Linked DNA regions of Medicago truncatula. The protein of the gene in region 1 interacts with the protein of each later gene in a pairwise test. Links are inferred from orthologs where the notes say so. Each region holds a gene or a part of one and is shown on either strand. Other genes may lie near its edges.

Region 1 (16,514 bases):
TAAAACATTGTTCGATATTAAATGTGAACACCTCTCTCGATCGATATTTGAAACTTGTTTCTCCACGTGTGAGAGTTTAAAACATTCCACTAAAATCAATTAACACCGTTGGTACTAACCAATCTTATTATTTGGTTAATAATTATTTATTTTTGTTCTTTTAAAATTAGTTATCATTAGTTTAACTTGTTACCTTTTGGTTTGTGTTAAGTGTTGTGCATGGTTTATTTTTTTGTTGCCGTTTAATTTCAGAACTCGAAATGACATTGCCTTTTCTTATAGATGGAAAAGAAATACCATTTGGCCATGATGAGAGTACCACGACCAATCCCATATACAAAAGATGAAATACTTATTATATTGTGGAGTTTTTTTAAGATCAAATCATTTGGTGATGCGTCATTTTTTCTATATTGAAATATTTTTTAAGTTGATTTGAATGTTAGTTTAATTTTAATTTTAGGAATATCAATAACCTCTTTTTATATGGATACTAATAAATTGTTCTCTTTTTTTTTTGTGTGAAGAAAATAATGGGCATCCTTGTACTTTTGATTTTTGCAAGAGTATCAATATATGTCTCCAAAAACATCGGTACCAGGACATAACCGGCTCTTTTCACCGAGCATCCTCGCTTTTGCGATCGCCTTGCCCTTGAACCCTTCGGGCTACATGCGTCATATCTGCACCACCCCTTATAGCGACCCAACACTCATCAATTGTATCCTATAAATCCTCTTATGTCCTTACCTTCTTTATCAAATAGAATTGAGAGCCACACTTTAGAGCTTAAACAATTGGTCAAATCCACCGCTCATCTAAACAAACATAAAGTCGCTATTCTTCAAAATACACAACTGCATGCGGTAAAAGGCGTAAATTTACACAATCTGAAGAGTATGTGAATGGCTTTTGGATATTGTGGTTGTGCTTTTACTTCAAATTTTAAAATTATCAATTTAGAAATGGGACAAAAAAAACATAAATATTCTCTTTTAGATGATAAATTATTGTAACAATTGCTTACAAGCAAGAGTGCAAATCAGTTGTCATTTGATTACATTGTGAGTGCCAAAAGGCAATTGGACATCGTGAGGATAAAATGATTAATTTAACAGAAAATGTTTGTTTGCTTATGATAAATGCATGATTAGAGGGTTTAAACTTTTTTTTATTGATTTCTTATATGTTAACTGGTAATCATATTTGAGACACTCACACACTAAATATGAATTGTTAGGATCTCTTCCAACTGAGATTTAAAACTTGATTCACCAATATTATGAAAAATTATCTCTTCCGTTGAACTGAACCTCAGTCGAAGGATGGTTTAACCTTTTCATTTAACATAAAAATACCAAGAAGAGGTTACATGCTTCCTCTTATCCTCCATAAAATGATCAAGGAAACAGATAACAAATGGATGTGGCTTATGTGTAAATAAGATTCATTTGTGGACTTCCAATGCTTTCTATCAAACCTTAATGTAGATTTATAAAATGGAAAATGTTATCGAATGCCCCGGGCACTCTTTAAGCACTTTAAATGGTAAATTTTTATGTAAAATTGTGTATTCAATGCATTGAAAATTGTCATAATTGCCTTTTTAAAAGAATGATTACTAAATTTGGGATCTTTAAAGAGTGTGCCTCGAGGGCACTCGATAACATTTTTGATTTAAATCGAGGAAAGATCAAACCAAACATCCACCTATTGTGCATCAGTTTAATTAACAGTTTCTCCAATTTTTCACTGGTTCCTCGTCCTTTCCAGACTCGACAGAGCATTGATTCACCTAATTTTGGTTCAATCCATCCAACTCAGTATAAAACAAATCTCTATAAGATATGTAAGTAACACACTCTTTTAGTCTTATTTGGTACAACTCTTGTAAATCATAACCCCTTTGGAAGGGCCAAATCAAATGAGGAATGAAAACCAAGCAAGTTCATAAGATTCACATGAATTCCATCCAATAATGTTTTTTTTTGACATTTCCTATTTCTATGTGATGTTCCAATGCATTTATGTTACATTTTACATTCAACAGATTGAGCTCTTGGTAGCTAAAACCATGTCACCAGTTACAAACCACTAAAGAATTCATGAGCTTCACGATATCGTTCCAAAACTACATTAAACAGAGGATGGATGGGTTCTAAGAGATTGGAGTAAGGGCCCATTACTACCTTAGGTAATGGTGGAGAATCTGGGCGCTTGGACCAACTATACTGGCACAATGAGAGACCACTTAAACAGTAACACGAGTGATAGTGATCCCTCCTTTTACCTGGTTTGTCCCGTAGTCCACCTTCTTGCTCCTGCATCAATCAAGCACAAATTACAGTTACAGAAATTAAAATATCAACTTAAGCATCTGCATATTTACAGAATATAATGTCAGATGAATCAAATCAAATGTTCAAATTCTTGGACAAGATGCAATTATATAAAGCAGAATTTCCATTTCAAACTGTCATGGGATCAAGTAAGATATCTTTGTAAAGAAATTAAAAACACATGAAACCAATATACAAATTATAAAAGTCATACCTGTGCACATAAAAGAATATATTGCTGTAAGGCAATGCTGTGAAAAAGCGGTTCACTTTCTCTCCACTCGTTAATAAAGTTAAGACCAATATTTTTAACATCAGATGAACAGGATTCACTTATCCCTGCAAGAATTAGAATTTAAAGTGAAGTGTTAATGTCCTAAGAAATGAATATAGAAAGAAATTCTGTGATTGAAGAAAATTTTCAAATATATGCTTCAAAATCAACCTACCTTCACGCCTGATACGGGAAGTTGCATGACTTGATGTTCCAGCCGAACTTTCCTTTTCGTCAGGCGCATCAGATTTCGTAAAAGACTGTGATGCCTCTACCATTTGTTCTTCAATAACAGATTGTAATCTTTGCAATAGTGCAACAGCACCCCCCTGAATACTTTCATGTTTTTAGCCAACTATATCACAGAAAAGACTGATGAAGAAAATATAAAATTTCAATCACCTGCCAAAACGAGTAGCATCCATCCACCAATTTATTTGTTCTCCCCTGAAATCCACACTCCTTACCTTGCCGAAATACAACCCAATCCTGAAGAAAGGAAACATAAGTTATATTTCGTAGAACTTAAAAAGTTCATAAAACTTGTGGGAAGCCACTAAAAAGAGCAATTCTCTTACAAGTAAACGAGGCAGATCCAAGCGATTAGCCTCACCAATCAGAATCATTGCAGCTAATCCACAAAAGGTATACCTGATAAAGAAAAAATAGTAAAAATATAAGATAACTTATCATGAGGGTAGATTGACTTTTTATTCCAAATAATATAATTGTGAAGAGGTATAAAGAGAAATGAGAGAAGGATGGTTGGAAAGTATGATACATACCCACCATGAGCCTCAGAACCAGGCTCACCAGCAATGCCACCCTCATATGTTTGACAGCTGCAAAGAAACAGCTTAGTGTATAAGACATGTATTACATAACATATAGTGCTCTGCATGCAATCAATTATTTCACTTTCTAGTTGACCAACGAACTATTGTACACAGCAAGAAACCCAGAGTTCTATGAAACCTTCAAATACGCAAAATAATAAAAAATAAAAAAATAAATATATGGAGAGAACTCAGTACCCCAATACAACATTTCCCAAAGGCAACAACATTGTGGCTAGTGTGAGTTTCAGTTAATGAAAAGATGACAGTTTTCCTTATTGCCAATCCCACTAGATTAGCAAAAATGGAGAGAATTCAGTTACCCTCGCCACCATACCACCAAAGTCATGACGAATACCACTTTTAATTGTTTATACCTTAAAGGTCACGTGTGAGGCCCCACATACTTATGAAGAGATCCTTAGAAACGTTTTCCCCGTTTTCTCAAATGCAAGCATACTTTGAACCCTTGCAAATTGAACTTAAGGAAAACCACTCAAAAATCAAAGTTGTAGGAACAAAAGTAATAAGTTTGACTAGTAAAAAGTTTATAGTCTAAACATTGCAAGTGCTTCTTGAAATTAACATTATAATATTGTAGAATCAAGCTCGAAACACTCAGTTTGATTTAATTCCAAAAATTAAAGCAAGTTCATCTTGAAACTAACCTTAATATGAAGTCTCCAACATTCTTGATCAGCTCATCATCCAAAATGTTTAGAACACTTGCTACCTGGTTCCAACAAGATTCCCAGTGTTATGAAATAGATATCTTTTTTTACCAGCCTTGGCATTAAAAGTGTTCCCCTCCCACAATGAAAATCATAGAGGATAATGGTAGAAAAAGTATAAGTCCATGTTGTTAATCTCATATAGCGGCACATAGTGCCGAACCTCAAACGAACGCAAACAAAACAACGAATGCAGAACGAAAGCAAGCAAATGAAAGACGAAGAAGAAAACACAGAAGAAAGTGAGGAACGAACGCAAATAAAACACAAGAAAATAAACGTGGGAATTCAAATATTAATAATGTAGGTCACTTTCGGGGATTTTTTCCCTGAAACCCTAATAGCGGGCGCGAGTCCGGGTTGAGGCCGCAATTCCACCACATTTCCGGACGCAACAAACGCCACTGCTGAAGGCGGCTCGCAGGAAGATGGTGTTGCGCCGAACCCTACCAATGCTATGCTATTCTGCTATAGTGTGCTCTGTAGTGGCGCTATTGACAACATATGTCTAAGTTAGCCAACAGCTCTAGCATCCTTTCATTCCTAACTCGTAATATGCTATCAAGGCCATGTCTAATACAATAAAATGACCATTATAATAACTAGTATAACTCTCAAAACAAACAAAAAACTAGTATAACTATGCATGATGAGATCCAAAAAGTGCAATGTCTGCATATTAACACATCTACACATGCATGTGTGGAAGAAAGACACAGAAACAGAGAAAACCACTTACAGAAATGGCAGTGTAGCATGCTCGAACATCGATTTCTCCTTCATCATGCATCCTGAATAAAACATTTGATGATTGAAAATAAAAATAATGAATAAAAACAAAAAGATGATTCCCCAAATAAACTCTGAACGTGTCAACAAAATAATCAGCATTAAGAAATGCTTTTAACACACTACTCAAAGTCGCACCATTTAAATTTGTGCAGGATAGCAGATTTATATTTTCACACCGTGTCCCCACAAACATTACCAAATCAAAATCTGGCATCGCTCATGTGTGTGAATAATTGCAATATGTGCAAGCATTCACACGTCAAAGCAACCAGATACAATAAAATGAATATGGGCAGGCATCAATCTAATTTATTTTTGTTAATTGAAGGCACAGAGATGAATATGATACCATACCTGAATCCCCCATTTGGCTGTTTCATCCGCCGCATAAACCCATACAATTTATCTCTGAGAATAATATTTTCAAAGTGTAAAACAAATCAATTCCAAATACAGGAGAACAGAACTCTACCGAACAAAAGATACAAAAAATTGCTAGAGCTTGCTTTGAAAAGAATAAACTGACCACCTATTAATTGATGCCAAAGCTTTATCACCACCCAAAGTAATAAGAGTATTGACTGAAGCATAAGTTGTGGCAAGATGAGGCATCTGAGGAAGATTTCAAAGATATCATAAGCATTATGCTTTTCGAACAATTAAAGAATATAAAGGAAAGACGCAGCATAAAATTTTGAAAATATTATGGTCCTTCCAGGAAGTACTGCAGTTACAGCAAAAAATTGACCCAACAGATACATGGAATATGCATTACATTGAAAATATAAGATTATAAAGTACTTATTGACTATAACTCAATCAACAAAATTGGGGAAAGGAGATAAAAATAAAGCTGAAACTTATTCAACTGAACTTGGCTCGAACTCAAACATAACTGCCTTCTTAGTTCTTACTTCACACAACTGAACTGAACCATGCATGAACCATGATACCAAACCACCATTTGACATATTCTCATAGTATTCATAAAAGAAAGAGCTATATAGTATTTATAATTATGGGGGATATTATACTTAAAACTAACCATGGTATAAGTTTCTATGGATGTGCATAAGTGGTGTTAGCAAGAGACAATAAACCATAGTAACAAAGAGAGAGAAGTAAGAATCAAATTCAACAAAACTATAGTTTGATGTTAGACTAGAATTAAGTAAAAAAGTGTAACAGTTGCTTGCCTGGCCAGGTCCCCCAGCAAATCCACCATTTGGATCCTGTTAGCATTTAAAAAACAAGAGATTCATAAGGAGGTAGAATGTCATAATAAGGATAAAGTACCATCCAAGAAATCCTCTCTCAAATCAAATAAGATAAAACATCACAACTAAATGGATCATCTGGGCTATGTTTGACACTCAATCAAAACCAGTACATAAATAAAAGTCCAAACAAATCATGGTTCAGTGGAAAAAACAAGTAGCACTATAGTGTCTAGAGTTTTTTTTTTTTTTTTAACAACTATAGAGTCTAGAGTTAGTAATACAGTATAGTGCATAATTATAATTTTCCAGTCATTATTTTTTACTTGTAACGATACATACATTGAAAATACATGAATACAAACACACAAATGTCTAATCATATCTTACTATCTTAGTACAGCATAAAAACACACAGAATGAAGAGTTTAACACCTATGCAACGACATTGTACAAATATTTTGTGGAGACGTACAATCATTATTTCCTAAAATAGATAGACAAATGTCTACACTAGTCCTCGTTATTACAGTTTAGTGGTTTGGCTGTAAGCACATTTTATGTAGAATGCAGGTTCAGGTCACCACACTTCCCCCTCCGTGTGTGCGGGCCACTAGGCCAATAGCAAAAAAAAAGTCTACATTAAGATATAAGGATATGTCATGTCAGTCTAAACTAGTTTTACACTTTCGATAAAAATCCAATCCAGTATTTTTCCACGTGATCCATCTTTTATAAGAGTATTTTGAAATTAATTGTATGAGATGGAAAAATGGTTGTCACACATTGGATAACAGTGTACAAAAAAAACTGATTTAAAGTGCCATTGTATGTTCACTAAACTCTAAGATATAATTAGATATTATCTAAATAAAACTTTCATACCAGCGGCAATTAAATTAAAAAAAAATGAAGATATCAACTCATCTATTCATTCATAATAAGTCAGGTGATATGAAAATATAATATACCTGGCAACGGTTAAGAAAATCAACTGTGTTATCTTCAAGGTCATCATCAATAGTTTCTCCCAACAAAGCAATTGCGTGAATAATCCAGTAACACAGCCACGGTCGACTGCACCATAAACCACAGCAACACTTCACCATTTTTTTTCAAATATCAAAAACTAATAACAGAATTCACAACAATCATGCAAAAAATCAAAATAGAAAGAAATCGATACTTTGCATCTAATACTGAAAAAGCTGAACCGAGATGGCGAAGTCCTTTAGAAAGATACTCGATGTGTTTATCTCGTTGCAACTCCAACCTGAAACATAAAATGAAGATAATAAATGTATGTTTGGTTCAGCGTTGATAAAAAATTGTTTTTTAATGAATTGATTCTAGCTAAAAGTGAGTTTAAAGTTGAGTGATTTACGTTTGGATACACTTATGTAAAAGTGAGTTGAACAATAAATTTGAGTGTTAAAATCAATTCTAGAATCAAAAGCTCCAATTTCTAGATTCAAGTAGAATCAATTCTAAAGGCAAAATTAATTCTACTCAAGAGCAAACAAACATGTCAAGAATCAATTCTACACCTCTAGAATCCATATTGACCCCTCTAGAAGTGAAACCAAATATACACTTAGCTACCTGTTACAAACTTTATATGACTACAGGCAGGATCAACCATGTAGCGTACATTAAATCTTTACATAATGCAAGTTTTGTACCCACGAAAGGGGAACAAAACATAAGCATAATGTAAACACCAGAAACAACACACGTTGACATGTCGGCACACGATATTATTTTAGAAAATGACATAATTGAGTCAGAAGTGTCGGACACTTACACGTGTCGGACACTTACAAGTGTCGGACACTGGACACCCCTTGGATCAGAAATGTTGGTGCTATAGAGCTAACAAGTATAACTAATTTAACAAATTCTTAACTACCTATTCATAAACTTATTTGAGAAAATGACATAATTGAACGTAACATGTTTCGGTGTTGGGAAACACCTTCGATCAAAGGTGTCGGTCCTACTGAAATAACAAGTATAAATAATCTAATCAAGTCTTAAGTCATACAAACTATTAACAAGTTATTTGAGAAAATGACATAATTGAATGCACTAACATGTTTCAATGTCGGGCTTCGATCAAAAGGTGTCGGTCTTACTGAGATGACAAGTAAAACTAATCTAACTAATTCTTAAGTCTTAACTACCTATTTCCAAACTTATTTGACAAAATAGCATAATTGAATGTAATGACATGTTTCAGTGTCGGACACTTACACGTGCAGAACACTAGACATGCATTCGATTAGACATGCCCCGGGTGCTACAGAGATAACGAGTACAACTAATCTAACTTACTATTAACTGCTATTATTATTTGGTGTCGGGACACGCCTTCGATCAAAAGTGTCACTGCTACTAAGATGACAAGTATAACTAATCTAACTAACTTTTAACTACTATCAACAAAGAGATAATTATAATACATGAAATTTAATTTTGAGATTGAAAAATTGAGAATGAAGAGAGAGAAGATAGTTACATGAGGGATTGAGCGTTAGGAGGAATAGTAGAAAAGAGTTGATAAATCTGAAACACTTGTGATTCTACTATCCATTGATCTCTTTGACTCACCGTTGGAGATGGTGTCTCCACCACAGATGAAGGTTCCATCGGATACACCGTCGGTGCTTTCTGGAACTGACTGTGTAAAAATTGAACGGAAAATTAATCTGACTAATCTTCTTTTGTTTTCTCATTAAGAGATTTGGGCCTGTAAACATTTGTTAATCTTTCAGGCCCAACCCAATCATGACTTGTATTTTAAGGGTTGCGTTAAAACTCTTTTTTTTTTTTTGACAAAGAGACAAATATCACCAAAACCTACGCACATTTGCAATATTCGATTTGAATATGAATGAAGATGTTTAACCTAATAGATCTGACATTGTCAGTTAAATTATATGTTTCAGATGTTAAAAATGTTTAATATGGTTGGATACGAGATCAAATCTACAATGTATCACTTCTCTTTACTCAATTTATATCTCTTTTATTCAATATTTGATCTTTCGTTTGTCATCAATAAAAAATCTATTACCACATTAAAAAAAAATAGTTGTAGACGAATTGGTAGACGTCCCCAAAACCTCGCACACACAACTGCAAGGTCTTTAGTTCAAACTCAAGTGAAAATGTCAAGTCTAACGATATAGACATTTGCCGTTTAGGCTAAATCTTACAGACTAATTTAGATATTTAAACATTTTTTTAACAAGGTAAAATGGAATATATTAACAGTAAAAAAATTATTTTATCTAGCACAAGACGTACATAGTAGAACATCAAAGTCTTACCTAAGTAACAATCAAAACAAAATCAACAAGCATAAATTAACCTATGCCCACACAAACAAAAGGGCTACGACACCAACTATGATAGTCAAAAGCAATATGAGCAACTTTTTTCTTCGGTTACTGGTAAAAAAAACAGCTTAATTTTGTCCAAGAAATGATAATTAGAGCTTCCTTTACTATTAAAAATCATGTTGTTTCAATCTCCAAGAGAACCAAACTAAATGCATTATAGACTGCCGCGATTTTGAAAAATCTGCCAAGCTAGCAAACTGAACAAAATGATATGCAATTTCAGCTAGATCAACCGATGAAATACCAAATTAACTACGAACAAGATGCTAAAGAGGATAAATGATATTACACATAAAGAATAAATAGTTTGCTAGGAGTCCCACTACTTTTTTATGTTGATATGACTTGTTCGGGGTGAACAATAATTCATTTTTATTTCTTATTTTGGTAATGGTCACTATTAACTTTGCTCTTACTAATGTCAAATCTCTTTTACATAGACTTAACTCCAACAAAATTAAATTAAGTATTTAAGATAAGATGAGATGAGGGCACACAAATAATTCAACTTCAAAAAACACAAAGATGCAAAAGACAAAAGAGCAAACAAATGCAATATTTAATAGTAAGAGTGACACATAGACAATGAAAGCAACACTTACATTACAAAATAGTATTATATTAATAGAACTCAATTTCTTTTTTGTTTCCTATAAAGAGTGTTTCTAAAAAAATATAATGAAATTTATTTTTTTGAGGGAAAAAAAATATAATGAAACGAAAGTCAATTATTACTCAAATAATTCCAACTTTACTAAAGCTGGTCAAAGTTTATCTACCTATTTATATGCTTCCATTTATTTCTATCGTGTGAGATTAATAATTGAATTTCCATTGTGTATATATACTATTAATATTAAATTTATCAAAAAGAGGTATGGTCTAAAAAAGAATATAGACTTTTATGTGAGATTAAAAATTAGATGTAATTGTCTCGGTTAGCATATCTCAATTGGCAGAGACATGCATTGTTATATGCAGAGGTCGGGGTTCGAACCCCAAACACCCCATTTATTCACCTTAAAAATGGTGAATTCTAAACTATTTGACAAAAAAAAAAATAGATGTAATCATATAAATAAATAATAATGCATCAAATCTATAAAAACTGCGGTTAAACATATTTAGACGAACACATAACTATGATCAATGACCTCCTTCAAATCTTTTATGTTACACCTCATCCACACAACCGATTTAACTTTATGACATAAGACTTAATTGTTGTTGATGCGACCCTAAAAACTTAATAAGAATTTTACATATATTCACATTAAAAAGGCAAGAAAAGGATTGGAGTTGGAAAGGGTAAAGCCTTCCTCACTCAGGTTAAGTTAAGTAGTCTTTCACTATTCTGACTGCTCCTAATAATATCCTTCAATATTTTCCTATATAAACCCCCCCTCATTACTCTTCTCAATTCACTAACCATTCTTATTCTCTCTAATACTTTCAGTTTCATCACTTTCATTGAAACAAAAATTGTTTGAAAATGGCTATGAAACGTGCTGCTTCCACCTTGATCACTGCTTCTTCAAAGATTTCATCACTTTCTTCACCTTCTTCCATCATCACCAGAGACCTTCATGTAAGCTCAATTTTTTCATGCATCTTAATTTCATTCAATCATTTGGCAATTTATTTGTTCATGTTTTCATTTTAATTTCTTGATCAATTTTTAAGTAATCATTAGTATTATTAACAATTCAATTTATCCAAAAATGATAAATTAAGAACTCAAAAGAAGGTTTGGTTTGATCTGGTATATGTCAATTTTCTTTGCTCTTTCTTGCATGCATCGTGATGATCCGTGACATTCACGCGATGTCAGTATGCCACCCTTGTCTCTTTCAACAGTCAACACTTGTCACATAGAATACTCGTCAAACTTATCTTATAAAAAAAAAAAAATCAAATACATCAATTAAGATAAGTTGAATGAAATTAACGTTGATCTCACCTTTTAAAAATGAGTCTTAATCGTGGTCGATACATCAATTAAGATAAGTTGAATGGCAAAACATATTTTTTTTATAAAAACGCTATTATTAACATTTTTTATCATATTCTATATTAAAAATAAATAAAAGTGCATGAAAAGAGTGTGTTTTTTTTAAGGACAAAAGAGTGTGTTTTTAGACCTTATGTTTAATTAAGGGCTACATACATGGCTTTTGTGAGAGAAAAATATCATATTTTTTAAAATTAAATAATTATTTTTAGAAGTTGTCATCCGTGCATTATTTTTGTAAGGGTCATCCGTATATTATAATAAACCACTTTTAAAATTAAAAATTAATAGAAAATTAAAATAATCACTTTGAAAAGTTTTTATGAATATAAAATAATCACTTTCTAATTAAATAAAATAATCATTATATTATAAGCTTCTTGTAAGTACATGCATTAGAAGTGAAGTCCACGTAAGCTCTTCCAAACCCCCCTTTTAAATTTTGTGGAATAAAATTGGTGTAGGGTACACTATCCATTATTATTAAATAAATGTATCTAATAAATGTATGCAATCCTACATTAGTATAATCATTATACTTGTCTAGGACTAAATTTTTGGTGTAGCTAAAATAATAATGTTAAAAAAATTTGTCAAATGAAATTAAATAGCATGTACAATTTCACACAAAATAACAGTTTTAGTAGTTTACCTTAGTCTTTTATGTATGCTTGTTTTGTTCTTTGACTTTTCTTATGCATTACCATTTTTTTTTTTTTTCTGTTGTTGAGAATAGGCCTCTGGTGGAAAGAAGAAGATTGTAGGTGTGTTCTACAAAGGCGGCGAATATGCTTCCTTGAATCCCAATTTTGTTGGATGTGTTGAAGGAGCATTAGGTATACGCGAGTGGTTGGAATCACAAGGACATGAATACATTGTCACTGATGACAAAGAAGGACTCAATTCTGGTTAGCATTATGCCAAATTGATACACCCTCTTATTACGTCTATGCAGTAACTAAACAAATATATTTAATTAAGAATATGCAGATAATATCTCAAGTTTGTGATTGCTTGAACTTATGACTAATTTTTGTCATGTTGCCAGAACTTGAGAAGCACATTCCTGATCTCAATGTCCTGATATCCACACCATTTCACCCTGCCTATGTCACTGCGGAAAGAATTAAGAAAGCTAAGAATTTAGAGCTGCTTTTAACTGCCGGCATTGGTTCTGATCACATTGATCTCAATGCTGCGGCTGCTGCTGGTTTAACCGTCGCAGAGGTCACAGGAAGCAACACTGTGTCGGTTGCTGAGGACGAGCTCATGAGAATTCTCATTCTTGTGAGGAATTTCTTGCCTGGTTACCATCAGGCTATTACCGGAGAATGGAATGTTGCTGGAATTGCACATAGAGCCTATGATCTTGAAGGAAAGACAGTTGGAACGGTTGGTGCGGGACGAATCGGGAAGCTTTTACTCCAAAGGCTGAAACCCTTTAACTGTAACCTTTTATATCATGATAGACTTAAGATGGAGCCTGAATTGGAGAAAGAAATTGGAGCTCAGTTTGAGGAGGATCTTGATGCTATGCTACCAAAATGCGACATTATTGTTATGAACATGCCTCTCACTGATAAGACAAGGTATAATTTTAGTACTAATAGCATTCTATTCAAGCTATTTTTGACACTTGAAATCTGAAGTCTATAAGGGAATTCAAGATATTCCAATATCAAAATGACTTGGTTTTGAATGATGAGTGTGAGTACGTATTCCATGCGTTGTGTATTCATGCGTTGAATGAGCAAACTTTTTTCTTTTTGTGATTCAGAGGATTGTTTGACAAAAATAGAATTGCCAAGTTGAAGAAAGGTGTCTTGATTGTCAACAATGCTCGCGGAGCACTTATGGATACACAAGCAGTTGCTGATGCTTGTTCCAGTGGACACGTTGCAGGTAATTCTAAAACCAGCCGACATAAAATGTGTTTCGAAGCAAAACAAAAATTTATGTTTGAAGTAATGTAACACCTGAGTTTCATCTATAGGTTACAGTGGTGATGTTTGGTTCCCACAACCAGCTCCAAAAGATCATCCATGGCGCTACATGCCTAATCATGCTATGACTCCTCATATTTCTGGAACTACCATTGATGCACAGGTAGTTTATTTTTGACAAAATTACTTCACTCCTTTATCTTAATTTCTCGTTTCTGAGTTAGTCCTTTCATTCTTTTTCTCTTTTCATTTTAGCCTCACACTTTGCATGCATGCTTTTAAATGATAGTTTTGAGGCAAACTGTAGCGCCATATACTAGGAGAAATGAAAACAATTATGTAGCACCGACATTTCATATTGTAGGCGTGTCTAGTGTCCAACACGTGTCAATATTGAACATGTGTCCGTATTTGATACTGACACATGTGGTAGCATACAATTATTTTATTTTCTCGAATTATTACACGAGTGTTTGTACCCTTTATAAATACAATGTGATTATGTGATACATCAACTGTGTCATGAATCAAAATCCAAAAAACTGTTTTAGAAAGCCAACATCATGCCAACATTGTTAATGTTCTAGACTATGCATACATAACCTTTTTGTTTGGCTAAGTTCATTGACTACATTTTCTCCATTTTGTGTGTGAAACACTGATGATGATAATAATTGAAACTTGTCCAGTTACGTTATGCTGCTGGAGTCAAAGATATGCTTGAGAAGCACTTTAAGGGTGAAGACTTTCCTGAACAGAACTACATTGTGAAGGAGGGTCAATTGGCAAGCCAATACCGGTGAATGTAGTATCGAAGAGTGGTTCTGACTTCTGCGTCTTGTGTTTTTAAGGCCAATGAATTACTAAATAAAGATATCCGCGGCATTGTAATAATGTACTCGGCTTTGTTGAGGTTGTAACTTGTTTAATAAAATTGCAATGGACACAAGTATCATTCTTGTGTTTTTTTCTGAATTTCAGTGTTCTGTTGGTAGTTAGTGTATGTGTGTTTGAGTTAAGCATTGAATTACTCTTGGTAGAATGTGAATTTAAACAATTCAACCTTTGAATTGAAAATATTTAACTGATATAATCCACGAGTCACTACATTAGCATGCCTCCTAGTGAATTCCATTATTGAGTTTGGACAATATAGGGTATTAAACCGGATACAACTTTTTATTATATAACCCAACCCAGATGATTCAAAAGTATGGGTATTAAAATGATCTATCTATAAAGCACAGACACAATTAAATGTAATTGTATGTACCAGTGTCATGTCGACATATGTGTTGAACGTCAAACACATCTTTGATCAAAAGTGTCAGTGCTTTAGAGTCTACTACTTTCTACTTTAGAATCTAGTGATTTTCATATCGGTGTCGAACAAACATGTGTCGAACGTCAAATATGTCTTTGATCAAAAATGTCAGTGCTTCAGAGTCTATTAACTATTTTAGAATCTAGTTCAAAAATCACGTTATGAACTCCCATATCACTAATTCAAAAGAATAGCTTGCAGCAGGCCTGTCTTTAAGCAACTTGAAGCTTGGACAAATTTTTATTATATATAAACATTTTTTTTTAAATATATTATATATAAACTTTTATAAGTGTTATATATCTACTACAAAGTGTCATTTCTAGTTTTATCATATAATAATTCATTCTTCTTGTAAGACTTTTTACAAAAATGTGTTTGACTCTTAATTTAACATTTCTATAAATTTTTAGATGTATTTTTTACTCTTTTTCTGAATATATCTCTTATAAAAACTACCAATTTGTCTTGCAATGTAAAAAAATAATATTGAAAAATATAATGGTGGAACCAATTTCTTAAGTGAAAAATAAAATCATCCACAATGGATGGAAGGGTCTTATCTTAAAGGCAAGATACCTAAAAGATACTCATTATAGAGCAAAATAAAAAAATGATTACATATTGTGAAGAGGTGCTTTGTGAATCACTCTTTTTTTTCGATGGAACCTATGTTTTTTAATATTAGAATAATGAAATATAATGTTTTTTTTTTTTGTTGTTGAGGGAAGCATGCTTATAGCATTTCATTGATAATAATAGTTTCAATATAATTGGGTATATCGAAATAAACGGCGGGACTAGCTAAAGACGTGGCCTCTCTTGCAAGAGCATGAGCAACCGCGTTGGCTTGTCGCCTAACAAACTCCACCCTAGAGTTAGAAAATAAATTGTTGAACGATAGGATGAATTGATACAACCAAATTGAGGCTATCTCAAAATCAACATTATCAAACTGCATATCACTCAACCATTGCAGAGCAAAGTGGAGCCCTAAAGCTTCACCCACAACCATTGTCAAACGGCTAGAATGAAATATAATGTTATAAAGTTTTTGATAAATGATTAATAGATTTTATTTAAAAAAATTGTGTGAAATACTGGTGGGAGAAAAATTATAAATAAATTATACGTACAAGTGAAACTCGTTTAATACCAAAAAAAATAGATGTCTCTGCTGTAATTTTGTAGATGCTCTAAAACCAAAATTTTAAGCAAGTCTTTTGTGTTTTTATTACGTAAAGCTTGATAATTCTTCTGCACATTTTGTTCTTTCTTTTTTTGGGCTATTATTACGCATCTTTTTCCTCAGAAGGGTTTGGTCCAAAAGCATGGTGTCTTTGGCATCACAAAGGCATTTAAGCGTGATCCGTAAATACAGCATGATGATTATTTATGTTTCCTTTCGTGTGTATGAACTACATCACATTTCTTTCTTCTTAGACAATTTGTGAGTTCTTTTCAATTTTGAGTGAAGTTTGAAAAAATGGTTTGTTTCCTTACCTTTTATCTTTGTTCGATTGTTGATTTGATTGTCAAAACACGATTTTTTATGATTGATCATATGAGAGTCATGTTTTCTCATGTTTCAGAGTCAAGTCCACATTCATGTTTATGTGTGCTACCTATTTGTACACCATAAC
Region 2 (16,179 bases), on another chromosome or scaffold:
TAAGAGTGTGTTTTTTTTCAAGAATAGGAGCAACTCAACGTCTTCGTCAAAATGGTCTTCTTACTGCTGATGCACTCAACAAAGCTGATGAAGAAACTATCAAAAAACAGATTTACCCTGTATGTTCTTTGGTAGCTTTTGATCAATTAATTTGGATTTGGTGGAAAATTAAAGATTCCACTTTTGAAACTTCCAGTATTTCTATAAGATGTTAGCGTGTCAATTTATTTTATGTCCTTTTTGTGTTTTATTAATTGAATATCTGTGCTTATGCTTTTGGGCATTCTTTTCTCAGGTTGGGTTTTATATAAGAAAAGCTGGTAACTTGAAGAAAATTGCTGATATTTGTCTCACTAAGTATGATGGAGACATACCTAACTCAATTGAGGAACTACTCTCACTTCCAGGCGTAGGTCCGAAGATTGCTCATTTGGTATGTACAGTTTTCTTTTCGTATTTCAAACAGTTTGTTTCATTAGTTTTAAGCTCCATTTTGTTAATGGTTTTAGTTTTATTTCCTGAAATCATTTTGTTAGTGGTGCTGTAGGTTATGATTATTGCATGGAACAATGTCCAAGGGATATGCGTAGATACTCATGTCCACCGCATCAGCAATCGTCTTGGATGGGTTTCGAGACCCGGCACAAAACAGGTTTGTTTTAAGTTTGGTAGCATCACATTATATTTGTCGGCTAGAAGGAAAAATTATGCTTATTACTGTCCAAGATTATCAAGGCTTATTTTTTTATTTTTTTGACAATATCAAGGCTTATGTTATGTGATCAATATGTATGTTACAACATATTGGGAATGCAATTTAATTATCAGAACATGTATTTTGTTTATCATGGTTTCCAAAATTTGCTTGACTGTCAGTCGGTGTTTGTCAGCAGGAAGAATTTTGCTCTTTGATTGGCTAGTTGTTACTTTTTCCAATAACTTCTAAGTGTCACAAATTCAAAGTTAATAATTATCTTCCTCGTGCCATGCCAGAGAACTTCAATACCCGAAGAAACAAGAAAGGCGCTGGAACGGTGGCTTCCGAGGGAAGAATGGGTTGCAATAAATCTTCTTTTGGTATGAATTAAACATTCACTCTCTTTGACTATGTAGTAGTATAGTACTATAGATAGTATAGGAACAAATGCACCTAAATGGTTATATTTTGGATGTGGTGTGTTACTTTATTTCTGCATTGCCAAAAACATTTTTGGGCCTCTTATACCATCTATCTTACAACATTGTATGCATATATGTAAAGCATCTTCTAGCTTAAATATGAAGTTGAACAGGTAGGATTTGGAAGGACAATTTGTACTCCTTTACGGCCTCGCTGTGGAGAGTGTGGTGTAAGTAGGTTCTGCCCGTCGGCGTTCAAGGAGACTTCAAGTTCATCTTCGAGGTCCAATAAATCTCAATTGAATAAGAAGCCTGAATCAAGCTGATTCTTTTGTTTCAGATTTGATATACATACATAGTTAAGAATTTTATGTGATCAAATTATAATGAGAAATATCTTGAACACACCCGTGTCTATCTAAGTGATGATGTATATATTTTGAAGAAAGACTCTTGTTTTAACTAAAAGAGATGTATGTATTGAAGAATTACATATCTTCAACTAATTTTTTTTTCATGTTTAATTTCCCTTCTATTGCCTTTAGTTACTGGGTTTTGTTATGTCAATATTAAATATCAGGTTCAATAATAGTACTACAAGTCTCTAACAGCATTGTAGTGAAATTGAATGTTTAAACTAATTGATTTGTCTCAAAATTGTATTCACTTACCAGCTTTGTAATACCTGTTTAAGAATTAGTTTATTCTAATTTTGAACAAAATGTTTACCACGGAATCATTGAGAATGATATTACTCCGTCCATCTCTCACTTAGTGATTACCTGTTTGACATTGGAATCAAGCATAGTATACAGGTTGACTCAATAGGTTTTATTAATTTAAACAAGTTTTTCATAGATAGATGCCTAATTATACACTTCAACATATTATCACAGTGGTTCGTTAATACAATGTTAAGAACGCAAAAGTAGAAGACCATTTTTTATAAAACAAGAAAAGAAGGTGGTGAAAAATATATTTTGTTCAACTTAGTTCCAATACTTAACAAGTTGTCACACTAAATTGCTAGTAATGGCGGGAACAAAAGAGCACAATTTTGCATTTATAAAAGTACGCCCTGATAACATATCATGGCAAAAACAACTACCCTGTTAAATATAGAAATACATATTGAAAACATATCAGAACAAAAACAACCACCCTGTTTTCACCCAATAACTTAATTGTCAAGCTTCTCTTTGTCAGAAAAAAAATAAAAATAAAATACTAGTCAAGCATAGGGTGTTCATGACATCCAATTTCAATAGACAAAGTATAAATTACAGACGGTATTAAGCTGCCTGAGGAAGTCTACTCTTACGCCAGACCCAATAGTTGACTCTAATTGGATCAACTTGTTCTAAAATAGAGCAAATAGTTCTTGCTATATCTGAATCTTGTTCTTCATTATCTGAAGTCCTTAAAGCCTCAATGGCATCTCTGAAATCTTCATTTGGTTGATAACCGAGGCAGATAAGATCCAAGAGAGTACTAAGAGCAAACAAATAATTGCTCTTTGTTCTCAAAATCTTTAAACATACTGAAGAAACTTGAGTGTCATTTACATATAATGTGGCTTCATCTTTGTAAAGTCCTCGAAGATATCTCCAAGAGCTTTCATTTTCAGGGTAGGAAATAATGGCTTCAATGGTGTAAAGCACTTCAGACTCCCTCATAGCTTTAATCCCCCCTAAGAAGGGAGACCTTGTTATGACAAAATATCTCTGTATAAAATATTACGAGTTAATTTTATTGAATTTGAAAATATCAAAAAAATGCTTTAAAAGTAAAATTGATTGTCAAGTTATTATTCCATACTCCCTCCGTTTTTTAATATAAGCAAAATTGACTTTTTATGTTCATTCATTTAATGATGTATGTGGTCCATATTATAAACCACATACATCATTAAATGAATGAATCTAAAAAGTCAATTTTGCTTATATTTAAAGACGGAGGGAGTACAATGCAAACACGCTACATTTAATAAGCAAATAGGATTAGAAAGTAATTATAGATTGTAGACTTATTCCATATACATGGCAAACACACCAAATTTAGAATGCAAATAGGAATAGAAAGCATTTCTAAGACCTCCCTTTTTTCTCTTTTTCATAATAGATTATTCGTGTACAGGTATTTAAATAGCAACAGCTTAGCTTAGCTTTGTCTACCAATGTTTCTCAATTTTAATTATTGGGAAAAGTAACATTTTGGACAATGACTTAAGTATACGGAATACTACATGTGTTTGATCTCTCAATTAGTTAGAAAACAATCATATACTGTGTTTTACTATGTCATGTACCAAAACTAAACATAACATGTACAATAGTCGGATACCTGATTCCAAGCAGAATTGTTAAATATGTCTTCTGCAAGCAGTTCACTACAATAATTGAGTTCATCTTCCCATCCTCCTAGGGTTTGAAGAACCCACTGTCCGTCCATGCAAAAAAAGAAGCAAAATTTTATTGAGTCATGATAATAATATGAACAGGCAACACCATCTGAAAATTAGATTCGTGGAAAAGATAGGAGAAACAAACCTGCCTATGAGACCATGCATGATAATGTTTGGCGTCAATAGACAATATCTTCTTGGTGAACTCAAGTTCACTGTTTCTAGCTTCAAGTCCTAATTTCTCAGCAACCCATCGCCTATGATGCCTATAAACATCTGACATCAAGATCAATGTGATGATGTGTATGCAAAAGAAGACAAAGGAAGCACTTCAAAGTACGACTTCATGAATGTATATGGTTTATATAAGAAATGACTATCAAATATGAACTATATCCTCAAATCATGCAACTGAATGTCATGCGAATATGAACAAAGAAGAACATTCTTTACAATTCCATGAAGGAAGTAATATGCAAGAAATAAGAACAATTTTCTAGTCTCAGACCAGCAACATTTGCCTGGTGAATTATTACATTATGCTATTGGATATCACCATCATGGTTTAATATGTAAAGGTCACTGGAGGTCAATAAACATGTGTTATGCTTAGCCCACTAAACTTATTTTGTGTATTGCATTGAACAAAGACTAGAGTGTGCGACGTCCACTCATATTACTTATATCGGATTGACACTGGAGGAAAGAGCATCATCTTTTGAACATAAAAATCTATCTTCCTGGATGTGAAATAATATGTTTTATCCATTATTACCATACTTCCATTTCCACTAAAATAAGTACCCAAAGACAATGCAAGTGACGTTTGGAGAGCACAAGGGATCATCGAATACAGATCTACAACTTTCAGCAAGAAAAAAAAAAACCAGGTACAGTAACTAGTTTAAGAAGGAAGCCTAATGCTTACTACATAGAAACACTTCAAAAATAGTAATCAAATTCATAACAGTGGTGAACCATCATCAATACCACATCGATTACTCTTAGCTGCATTTTACTTGATTATTTGTATAGCAACGTAGACGCAAATGCCGCTTAATTAGTTGTGTCAGATAGTTTTTAAGATTTTCCATAGTCCACTATTAATGGTAAAATAAGGTCCCAAACACAATATAGCCTAGTGCAAATAACTCAAGTGGGAAAACTGGGAAAAAAGATAGTGCTGTAATGCTCCCTACAGGGAAGTATGGTCACTCCATAATATAGTTATACCGTATCAAACACGTTACAGATACCAGTTTGGAGTTTGGATACTCCTAGCTGTAATTTATAATTTGTGTGCTTTTACATTGTAATATAGATGGAAAATGCCACAATAACTAGCCATGTCAAATATATGTTTAAACTTGTCATATTCCAACAATATAATTCTATGACTGGAACCTATGAGCTCTAAGTCACATGACAACAATTCTTAATTTTGCTACCACAGCTACCCTGCTTAATATTTGCATCTACTTCAAAGTTCAAACTAACAAGCGATAAATTCCCATTTTGTCAAAATTTCAGAGGACTTGTTGCACAAACAACATGGTTTGTTCACATAACGCCATTCCATGTCTACAAACAAGCCATGTACTTAAAATAACCTAGAATAATTAGCTGCAAATCACTAGTGCCAGAAGGTAGCTTGGTGAGTGAGCTTAAAAAAACAATTTTTAAGCTTGCAATGAATCGAATACAATCTTCCAATACAATATTTCTATATTTGGTTTCTTAACGCGTGCCCTATACACAAAATCACTAAAAATAGCAATTGAAATTGCAAACCAAGTAAGAAAGATCTCTCACCAAATCTGATAATTCTTGGAATTTCCACTTGCAACACGCTCCACAAATTCCCTTTCAACATGTAGGTCAACTTTCAGAGACTCAAGTAATGACCGTCGAAAATGCCACACCTACAAAATCATCACAAGATCACAACTTTAAAAAACCTAATTATTATCATTAACTCAAAAACTCATAATTAATCAAAATCAATAAGTAATTAATTTCAATTTGCATCAAATCTGAATTCAAAAAAGGAAAAAGAAATTCGAATTGTGAAATTACGGTGTAGTTTCCGGCATTTAGAGAAATAGCTTCAGCGGTGAGAGAAAGAGCGCGAGATGAAAGTTCATTGGCGAAGTAAACAGCACGAAAGTAATCCATAACTTCGGAAAATTCTTCGGAGTAGTTGATCGGAACTACTGGATTAGGGCCGTTGTTTTGAGGAATCGGAGTTACGTCGGACCACTCCGGTCGCAACCGCAGAGGCACGCGATCGTTGCTTTCATCTTCGATTTTTCCGGCCATCGTTTCTTGATTCTTCTTCACTTCTCTTCACTCTCTCACTGCTAGGGTGTTCTTAACATGTGCGGAGTAGAAAGAAAAAAAAAATACTAATCTAACAATTAATTTATTTTTTTGGGATAAACTATGTGTGAAATTTAAAAAATATAATGTGGATAAAATTACGAAATATTAGGTCTATAATTTAATTAAATATTAGATCAATTCGATCATCAATCATTTGTCTTTAATTTCTTAAATTGTCTCATATTCATGTTCTAAATATGTTTTTTTAGATGAAATTCATACTTAAAAGTGATAATTTAAATAAAATACAAAAAAGTAATCGTGATAAGTGAAATTTATACTTAACTATGATATGAGTTCCACAAAATTCGAAGTTGAAGTTAATGAAGCGCTTTTGCCCTTCTTTAAACGTAACAAAAGCATTCATGAACCAATCATTTGCTATGTATAAAACACTAGTGTAACTTCCCGTGCCAAGCACGGGATTCATTTTATTTTAAAAAAATTAACGGAGTTTACACATAATTAGGTTTTCAGATATTATTTGACTTTTTTAGTTTAATTTTATTTCAAAATTTTGACATTATGTGGTACTCTATCCTCATATGTAAAATTGAAAAAATAAATCACCGTTTATTAAGACAAAAAAAAAATTAAATTTTAAAAAGATATAACTATTTTTGTGAGAGCCGCCTTCCTTCTCCTCCATCCACCTTCTTTGCTCATCCTACCAAATCCAAACCTTCCCTTCACAATGTAACCTCACGCATCAAGGAGGTTGTGGTGTGATTCTTTGACCACCTCCTAGAACCCCTTTTTTAGGATCGGTTCCATCGAACCAAACAACACCTGTTATGGATTGTTACTCTCAAATCTGGTTTCTAGACAGCGATAGTCTGATGCGGTTGTCTCATGTTTTGCGGATCAGATTTTTCTTCTTGGTTTATTGAAACCGCTGTGAATCTCCTATCTTTTGCGGTGGTTGGGTTAGCGAGCATTATGGTTGTGTTTCAACGACGGTTGTTGGGTTTTTCGCTGCCATTGTCATCGGCTTTTGTGTTATCCTACAAATCGTGGTAGAATTTTCCCTTCACGGTCTGATTCTGATTATGAGCTCGACATTGCTTCGAAGTTGTGTTTTTCATAAATGGTCTCACCGAAAATGGGGGCGTTGTCGTCTTTGTCAACAGTGACGTGTATGGCTAGAAATGGCATTTGAAGCTGGTTGTTGTCATGTTAGATGCAGTGGGTTGGTGGCGTGTGGATTTGTTTTGGTGTTGGCGATCAGTTTCTTACCGGCTTCAAAATTGGAATTCGAGACTCGTCAGTTCACACATCCCATTTCTTTTACACATTGGTTTTGTGCCCGAAATGCGGGTTCGCTGGATTGTGCAACATGATGTGTGAGTCTAATTATGAATTCGAATTTGTTTATTTACCCATTAGATTGTCATGTATTGTATTATCATATGGCTGGTTACCTTTTTGGTTTAACTGGGTTACTATGTCCCCAGTCTTTTTTTTTACAAACAAAAATATTTTAATGTAATTAGGGTGTCGCAGATCTATCTGCATCCCATTTTCTTAAAAGAAATATTTTTATGAGTCATAAAATAGTGGGCAAAAGTACAAATATACTTAAAATATAAAAACACTATAAATAATTAATATATTCTTAAAAATATATCTAATTAATAAAAGTTCAAATTAACTTTGGTTTCTCAGTCATTCAATATATTAAACAGGTATGATTACCTCCGTTTTAATCTACCAGTATGAATAATATTATTACTTTTTTATTTAATCACAATACTCTCGGATTTCAATTATAAAAAATATCTAACTTCAAAATTTCACTTATATGCAATTAGTTTTCTTGATTTGATAAAAAAAAATTAAAGTACCATATATTGGAATGTGTTTCATGAGAATGAAAAAATATTAAACTGAAACTTACATGAATTAAAATGTATATTAGGACAAATAACATTAAATAGAGTCAAAGTAAGTTATATTTGTTTTAATTTAAGATAAAAAAAATTATTTATTTTTTATATTTAAGATTGGAGAGAGTATTTCTCTCGGAAGCAAATTATCTCCGGTGAAAAAAAATTGACAGAAAACAACTTTCTTTAATCTACTTCCATCATTTTTTTTAATTAGTGATCATAAGTCACAAATTAAAACACTCTAACCTAATTTTGTTATACTTTACTGTAATTTTGATTTCGAATTCATTGTTCAACTTTTCCAAACAAACACTTCCTCCTTCTTAAAGTTCCTAACCGAATCCCACAAACTAAAACCTCCACCAAACGTGGGTTAGAAAAAAGTAGGAGATCTATGTCAACCCACTCAATTACATGCAAGTTCTTCAACTCATTAATGGTGATCGTAAGAGTAAGGTTAAAAAAACTTTTCTAATATGCTAATGCGAGATAGATCAGGCAACTAAAAATAAAGGTAAAATACAAAGGTCATAAAATATTGATAAACTTTGTTGCATATGCGTTGTTGCTATATGTTCATGATGACTCTGCTCTAGAACTGTGTTAGGATCATGGAAGAGTGTTATTTGAGCTAATATTTCATTTTGTGTCATTTTACATGCTATCTGTCAAGCTCAATTTGTGATCTATGAGATAACAAAGATTAAAACACTATACTTCAAAAAAATATACCAAAAAAAAAAAAAAAAACAATATGAAAAAAGTACCTTTCGATCCATTAGAACCAACTCCATGGAAAATGGTAGTTTTTTATTTTTGTAGTCTTGAACAAACCAAGCACGAACAACCCTCACAACCAATGTCCACGATTATTTTCTTGGCGAAACATCAGAGATGAAGTCGTGTTTTGTAGACCTTTTTCTTTGCAATAAAAAGTTACAGAAATAACTTAGAACATAGATATCAAAGAACCAGAGAACAAAAGAAGAAAAAAAAAACTATATTTTGTGATTGTTGTGTACTCATACCCAAACTTGCTACTATTTATATAGAAAATAATACTATAACGATTAATATATATATATATATATATATATATATATATATATATTAATTGTTAATTTGACCGTTTTAAAATTAATATTATCAACGTCTTTAATATTATAAAATGTACATTAAACGATTAGATTATATTTCATGTAACCTACAAAAAATTAACTTTATAAGATTTGAAATTTAATAATATCTTATTAATATTAAGTAATATAATTTTGTAATGAATACAAATTAATTATATAACCTTAAAAACTAATTACTACAATTAAATTTTTTAATTAGTAGGTTTCTGTCATAGTGTAACGGACCAAAATTTAAAATATAATTTATTCAAGTTATTTATTATAAATTTGTAACCTACCAAATTTTTAATGTACCGTATAAATGTTAATTGAATACTAATTATATTAATAATTATTTGATTGTAACGTACAAATTTTTAATGTAACATATAAATCTTAATCAAAACAATAGTTATATTAATAATTATTTGATTGTAACCAACTATGCATTTTATGTATAATTTAATGTTAAATAAAAAACGGTTTTTAATAATAATTATAATTATTAAGCTTGTATTAATAATTGGGAAAATTTTTGGAACAAATGCCAAGTAGGATTAGGATGATGTGGACATCTTTAAAAGAGGAATTTGGAATAAGCTATTTCTAAAAACTTTAAATTGTTAGTATAAAGATTCCTCTTCTTAAATAAGATAATTGAGTTTTTTTTAGAGAAATGATATTTGAACATCCATTTAGTGATAATTTTTGCAACAAGCATACTCACATTAATTTTTATTTTATCTTTCTATTGTTATGGTTTCCGTGTCAATACCACTTTTTTCTTTGTAAAATATAATTGTTAAATAAATTATCACCAAATTGGTTGTTCAAATAACACTTCTCTTTTTTATTAAAATGTGTGTGACGTATAATGGTTGTACCACTACCAAACAAAACATGTTCTTAATGTGTGTTATTGTGTATGTTTCTCTCCTATGCAACTATCATTTTTTGTTGCAAAAATTGTTCTTCATTTTATCTGATTAGAGTGAATGTTCTTATCTAATATGATTTGTTGTTATATTTAGGGCATTTGTTAAGAATTAAAAAATACAGATACTAGATAATTTTATGTAAAAAAAAGTTATTTTTTGTTGTTTCAGTATCATGTACAATTTTTAATGTAAAAAAAAGTTTTTTTTTTTTTTTAAGAAATTGTGCAGACACGAATATTTGCCATATAAAAACAAAAGCTCAAAAGTATTAGCAACTAACATATGATATACATGATCCTCCTTCAAACAAAAATACATGTAAATTTTTCATTAAAAAATAATAATAAACATAAAATAAAAAAGGGTTAATATATGTTTACATGTAATATTAGTGATTTCCGGTTTACCCACTGAAAAAAAAATTGTTTAGATTCCAACCCTGTAATTTGAAGATTTTTTGATTTTGAACCTTCATGGCATCAAATTACAAAATTTAAGGTACTTTCGCCCCTTGTAATTTGAAAGAATTTCGGTTTACCCCCTGACATATCATCAATATTTCGGTTTACCACCCTACCATATCATCGATTTTGTACAGTCAAAATTCATGAAGATCCAAAACCAAAATTCTTCAAATTACAGGGTTGAAATCTAAACAAATTTTTTTCAAGAGGTAAACGGAAATCACTAATATTATAGGGGTAAACATATATTAACCCAATAAAAAATAATGCCTTGAAATTTACTTTTTGAAGAATCTAAATTAACCCACCCAAATTGACACCGAAGAGAATCGAACCTAAGACTTCAAGAAGGAGCACACTTCCATATCTCAGGTCAATACCACCATGCCAACCCAAATGGGGTTTATAATGCCTTGAAATTGAAAAAGATTTTGATCCTCTCTCTGTTGTCCATTTTATCTTAGTCTCGATCATTCATCTACTTTTTTCTCTGTGGTCGATCAACGGTTGGATTAGGAAAGAAGATATGACTATCACGGAACAGGAAGTGCTAGAGAGGATCTATAATCCAACAAAAAGGATAGTTTCAATTTTCAATATACCATTTTGATTTACAATTCCAATATGCGAGTTTCTTATCCAACCATATGAGTGTGCAAAACAATCCAATGAGATTGATTTGCACTGAACATGATGCATGTCCAACTAATTCTACAAATTCAGACCTCCGTTATTTACTAAAGCTATAAGAAAAATGGAGAAATTATTAATTCAAAAAACAAAAGAATGATTCAGAGTATGAATGTTGTCTAGATTTTTTTTTCACTGAAGTTTGCTATAATAATCCATCTGATCTTTGAATTCCTGTTCACTTGTGAAACAACTTCCAGATATCTCTGTCAGCCAAATCCTTAACCAAATGCACTCCAAAAATGCCCTCCTCATCTAACACATTTCTCAGCTGTCGTACTCCATTGCTAAAGCCAACATAGTGCTTCTTAGTTGGAGCAAGATATACCACTCCATATGGAGGCCTTATACACTGTTATAAAAGGGAAACCAGAAAATAGGAATCAGAATGTTGACAAGGGGAAACTTATGCAATCAGGACAATGCCATCGATGCAATACTCATTGTAGTGTGGGTGGATATATGGCGCGTGTCTTCCTTACTTCGTCTGAAAATCTATTTCTAACCTTGATGAAATTTCATTGTGTTTTGTATGCCATGGTGTTACGACTTATTGCCGTGTAATCAAATACAATAAATTGGTATGGTCACCGATTGGTATACTTAGACGGTGACCAAGTTGATATTTGTTGTATCTGATGACACAACAATAAGTATCTGATGACAACAGGATATGCAGTTTAGTATAGCATTAAAATAAGAAAGTGCAGAGACAACCAAGTATAATGAAACAAACCTTCTTAATGAGAGCATACAGCTTCTTCAAAGAGTTAACAGAGTATGGAATCTCAGTCATTAAAATAACATCATAGCCACCATCCCCCTGATCTGCCTCATTAGCTCTTTCCCATGCTCGACTTCCTGAGAGTTTCCTAGACCTTCTTGAACTAGATTCGTGTCCAATGATGCTACCATCTTGACTACTGCCTACATCCAAAAAGTCTTCCTCAGAGAAGCTCAAACTCATTCCAGGTGTCGCTTCATATCCATCATTTTTCACAGTAGACAACACGGCAGGTAATTCTTCCCAGTCCCCAGCATAAAAGTTAACAGATGGTGCAAGAGTCTGCCTTGAAGGAGTAAGGGGAGACTCTGGCTGTCGACTCTGCCTATCACGAGCTTGCTTGAGATTACCAAGGACATTCGGTACAGTTGTGCATCTTACAGTTTCAGCATTCTGATCTTGAAAATGCACAATGGAAGCTCCCTGTGAAATAAAGAACCATTTAGAGGACAGAGAATATTATTCCAATGAGTGAATGTTTCTTTGAACGTCTGGGAAAAAAAGTATAGCCAATTAACCATTGTTTTTATTCTACCAAAAGACTTTAAAAAATTTCTCTTCTTGCAGCAGAACTTGTTTGTCAGTTTGCAAATATTACCAAAAAAGAATCCAAAATCTTTAGGTTGGTGGCACCAGGAAGACATTGTTCTGTTTGTTATATACTTTCGTCAACGTGACAAGTTAGATGGAAGGCATAAAAAGAAGGTGAAAGCACAGTGCCTTGGAAGTCCAATTTTGACACTATTACATTGAGAATAACTACAAAATATATTTGACTGCAGTTCAAGTATTCGAACTACAATAAACCAACACCTACACAAACAAGATGAATGTTGTTGTTCTTTCCAGCTATCAAATACACACAAACTAGTGACAAATGACCAAGGAAAGGAGAAAGTGAGCACTGAGACCTAAAGTGCAACTGTATACCTTCAAGCAAGCAAAGATTCCAGGAAGTCCATAGTTGCAACTGAGCTGCACGGAACATGAAGTGAAGAGATCATTAAATTATGAATAATAGATACAACTAAAAAGATTGAAAAATATGGCTCAAGGGAGAAGAAAAGAGAGAAATCTTGTGGCCATACAGTTAACGTTGAGAGCATTTGTAAATGAGAAAAAGAGGATGAAGCATAAGAAGAATTAAAGACAACCAAATCAAGGCATTAAAGCATGCAAAAATATCTTTCAATTAGTTACCTCAAGAACTCTTTTTCCTCTGAAGGTCAATTGCCCGTCACGAATCTCATTCTTGAGAACACTGACAAGATCGATGGAACTGGACCAGGATTTCGGATAGCCTACAAAGTCACAGATAGATCAATTTGATACTGCCCCTCCTTTGTAATGATGAGGAAACAAATTGCATGTATATTATTGTCTATCAAAGCATGATTGTTAAATGATATTATACTCAACAAGAATCATGTCATTATTTTTCCGACACAAATTGGCTTAGTAGGTTGGTTAATATTTTGAAGTTTTGAATTAATACAGCATTGACCTTAAGGGTTGTCCTTTTCCTTTCATGCCAAAAAAGTTTTTGCTGGGTATCATAGCATACGGTCTAAAGATTCTCTGCTATACTACTTTGTTGACTGTTATGTTTGCATAGTAATACACTGGAGAGAAAATAGTAGTTTATAGAAAAATTATCATGTGTCCAATGCCTACAGACTGAAATTTCATGTACATACCATCCAGTCTTGAGGATATTGTCTCTGAACCACCGAACCCGATGATATCAGCAACACTTACTATTCCCTGTAGGAGGTTTAAGACAGAATCAGTTTCCGCACAACTATTAAACTAACTGATATGCGAACATAAGCTATAATATCATGACAAGATTATTGAAGACAAAATTTAGATGAGAAAGTTTTCAAGAAAATGAGGAGTGGAAAAAGTTCTTGCTAAGAAATATTGTAAATTCAGCATTCAAAAGTGTACCAGATTCTGCAGAAACGCAAAGTAAAGAATTGTATTCGGCAGATTTGGTAATCATGCCTATGGCAAAATAATACAAAGGATAAAACCTGCATCCCATTTTATTGATATGGATCTGAGGTGCCTGTAGTTGTTTGCCAACTGCATGACATCCCACGTTGAATAATTGAACTATTGGGCGTGCAGTTAATTTTTAGTTATAGGTAATTGTCTTCCGATTGATACTGGCCAAATGAAAGAATAGAAACCAACCCGAAATCCTTGCACTATCATTGATTCAACAATAACACTAATTTTCCATAAATAATTTAATTAAGACACAAGCCATCTGATTATGCCACCCTTCAGAAAACAATTACTATGAAACTAACCATGCTGAGACGTACCTTAAAATGGTCACTATTTTCCCCAGCTTCCTTGTCAGTGTGAAACGCCTGCAGAGCATGACATATAAATCTGTTACACTTCTTCCCAGTCACCCAAAAGTAGGCAAAAAATTCAACTAAATGCCTTAATTTCAACTTTCAAGGTAAAGTTTCATTTTTGCTGTTGGTTGGTTAGGGGGGTGTCTCGATGGAGGAAGATAAAAATGGTAGTTGTACCTTTGAAGGAAGAATCTCCACTGCTGGTGATGCGAGATGAATAGCTTTCTCGGGAACGGACGATATACTGAGACTTCCATGATCGCGAGGCACTAGGCCAGGCAAGCATTGTGAAAGTATTGCCGGTGCACGCATTGCAGTTGGTACTAAGAAGCAATCGCCTGTCGAACTGATAAGATACATTAACACCAGCTATCAAACTTTACACTTACGCCACGTAATTACTTTCAATGGAATGTATCATTGACCAATCCAACCATTAACTCGTGTGATGTTGTCTTCATGAAATCATGATCATGTATTCAACATTGTATGTATGTTTCCTAAAAACTTCGCTATTTATTACGAAGGATACTGCGAAAGAATCGCAAGAATTGACACACGGCAATATCTAAAGCAAACCGATAATGATTTGGTCGGTATTTGGCGAAATTCGTGGATGATTGTCCAAAAGGAAGTATTTGTTTTTATTAGTCATATAACTGTATCGTACTATTAATTATTCTGGTTTACCAAATAGTGACATTTAACAACCCTATTTTCAATAACACTATATATATTAAAACAAAGTAGTATAATGAAGTATTATGAATTTTAATAAACTTGATTGATATACTTCCGTAAAAACTTTTAATTCAACAATTCAATTCATCAATTTCACATTCTAACAAAAATTATTAGTATAAGTATAAAAATAAATGATCCAGTTCAAGTGTTAGTTGATCATAACACTTAGAATTAAATCAAATAAAAATAGTATAAAATTGCAATTTTTTTAACAACTACTCTATCAATTTGATGAACTATATATAGAGTCATACATCAAAAAACAAAACCATGCACATAAAATAAAAACATCATTATCACAAACAGTAATTCTTATCCCTTTCTCTAAAAAAGTTCAAACACAGATTAACAAAAATTCCTTCACGTTTAACCTCAAAATAGATGAAAAAAACAAAAAAGATCAAAATTTTGGGGAAAAAGAAAAAAAAATTACTTTTTTTGTATTCAATTAACATGGAGCTTAAAAATCAAAGAATATATGAAATTGGAAGTAAAATTCACACGAGAAAAAGGCTAATTATACATGATCAAAGAAAATAATAACAAATGAATAAATAAAAAACAAAAATTGAGGAATTGAAAGAAGAAGAAAAAGAAGAGAATACCTGAATTCAGAGAGAGTTAGGTTTTGGTGATGAAATGAGAAATGCGATGAAAAAACAAAGTGTTTTTTTTTCAAAGATGAAATTTTGTTAAAGTCTGAAAGGAAATGTAAGCAAGAAACAGAGAAGAAGCTTCGACGTCAGAGGACTATTGTAATGACTGAAATACCCTTTTGGTTGTTGAACAATTGTGCTGTGGGGTCTAATTAGATCCAATGCTTTTTGTCTTTTTCTTTTGGGAAAAATGGGTATGTAAACTATGTGTATGTAGAATGGAATGGAACGGAACAAGCATTATTGGGATTTTTTTTGGGGTAACATAATAAGATCCATGTACGGATTTTTTAGGTGTACTAACCCACACTATAAACGTTTTTAAAATAACAAAAGTCATCTCAATGATGTATATGACTATATTTATCTATGAGTTTTTTTAGGGTAAATTGCAAGAGAGTATCTAGTTGTGGGGTAAGAAAAAAATAATAATATATAGCTTGAGACAAGTGAATAGGCACTCTAAATGCTCCAGATCCACGCTACATGCTCTGAATTTTTATGTTAATTCATATATTCGACACACGTTTTGAGTCGTTTTATTTATTCAAAGCATCCTTACGCACCTAAATATTTGTCATGACATGTTTCAAAATATTTATTTGATGAAAGAAAACAA

Evidence for each region.
Region 2: the proteins of protein farnesyltransferase subunit beta (region 1) and protein farnesyltransferase/geranylgeranyltransferase type-1 subunit alpha interact in binary tests that used the Arabidopsis thaliana proteins (3 or more experiments, as listed by UniProt). The link is inferred for Medicago truncatula from reciprocal best matches to the Arabidopsis thaliana genes ERA1 and FTA.

The regions. Positions count from the first base shown.
Region 1 is NC_053047.1:1,500,472-1,516,985, forward strand, and holds protein farnesyltransferase subunit beta, read right to left. Parts: upstream 8,899-16,514; 5' UTR 8,839-8,898; coding exon 8,708-8,838; intron 7,463-8,707; coding exon 7,376-7,462; intron 7,267-7,375; coding exon 7,161-7,266; intron 6,205-7,160; coding exon 6,169-6,204; intron 5,585-6,168; coding exon 5,502-5,584; intron 5,381-5,501; coding exon 5,327-5,380; intron 4,972-5,326; coding exon 4,920-4,971; intron 4,183-4,919; coding exon 4,118-4,182; intron 3,456-4,117; coding exon 3,399-3,455; intron 3,265-3,398; coding exon 3,192-3,264; intron 3,103-3,191; coding exon 3,016-3,102; intron 2,943-3,015; coding exon 2,789-2,942; intron 2,679-2,788; coding exon 2,554-2,678; intron 2,322-2,553; coding exon 2,085-2,321; 3' UTR 1,896-2,084; downstream 1-1,895. Other genes in the region: formate dehydrogenase 1, mitochondrial, read left to right, coding at 11,086-11,181, 12,341-12,512, 12,653-13,193, 13,382-13,506, 13,598-13,710, 14,237-14,350. UniProt on the Arabidopsis thaliana protein: Catalyzes the transfer of a farnesyl moiety from farnesyl diphosphate to a cysteine at the fourth position from the C-terminus of several proteins having the C-terminal sequence Cys-aliphatic-aliphatic-X (CaaX).
Region 2 is NC_053043.1:48,325,100-48,341,278, reverse strand, and holds protein farnesyltransferase/geranylgeranyltransferase type-1 subunit alpha, read right to left. Parts: upstream 5,927-16,179; 5' UTR 5,843-5,926; coding exon 5,600-5,842; intron 5,446-5,599; coding exon 5,336-5,445; intron 3,790-5,335; coding exon 3,669-3,789; intron 3,559-3,668; coding exon 3,463-3,558; intron 2,844-3,462; coding exon 2,412-2,843; 3' UTR 2,153-2,411; downstream 1-2,152. Other genes in the region: endonuclease III homolog 2, chloroplastic, read left to right, coding at 28-119, 296-433, 548-652, 994-1,077, 1,293-1,445; uncharacterized protein, read right to left, coding at 11,183-11,356, 11,741-12,211, 12,719-12,763, 12,989-13,089, 13,486-13,552, 14,122-14,169, 14,338-14,472. UniProt on the Arabidopsis thaliana protein: Essential subunit of both the farnesyltransferase and the geranylgeranyltransferase complex.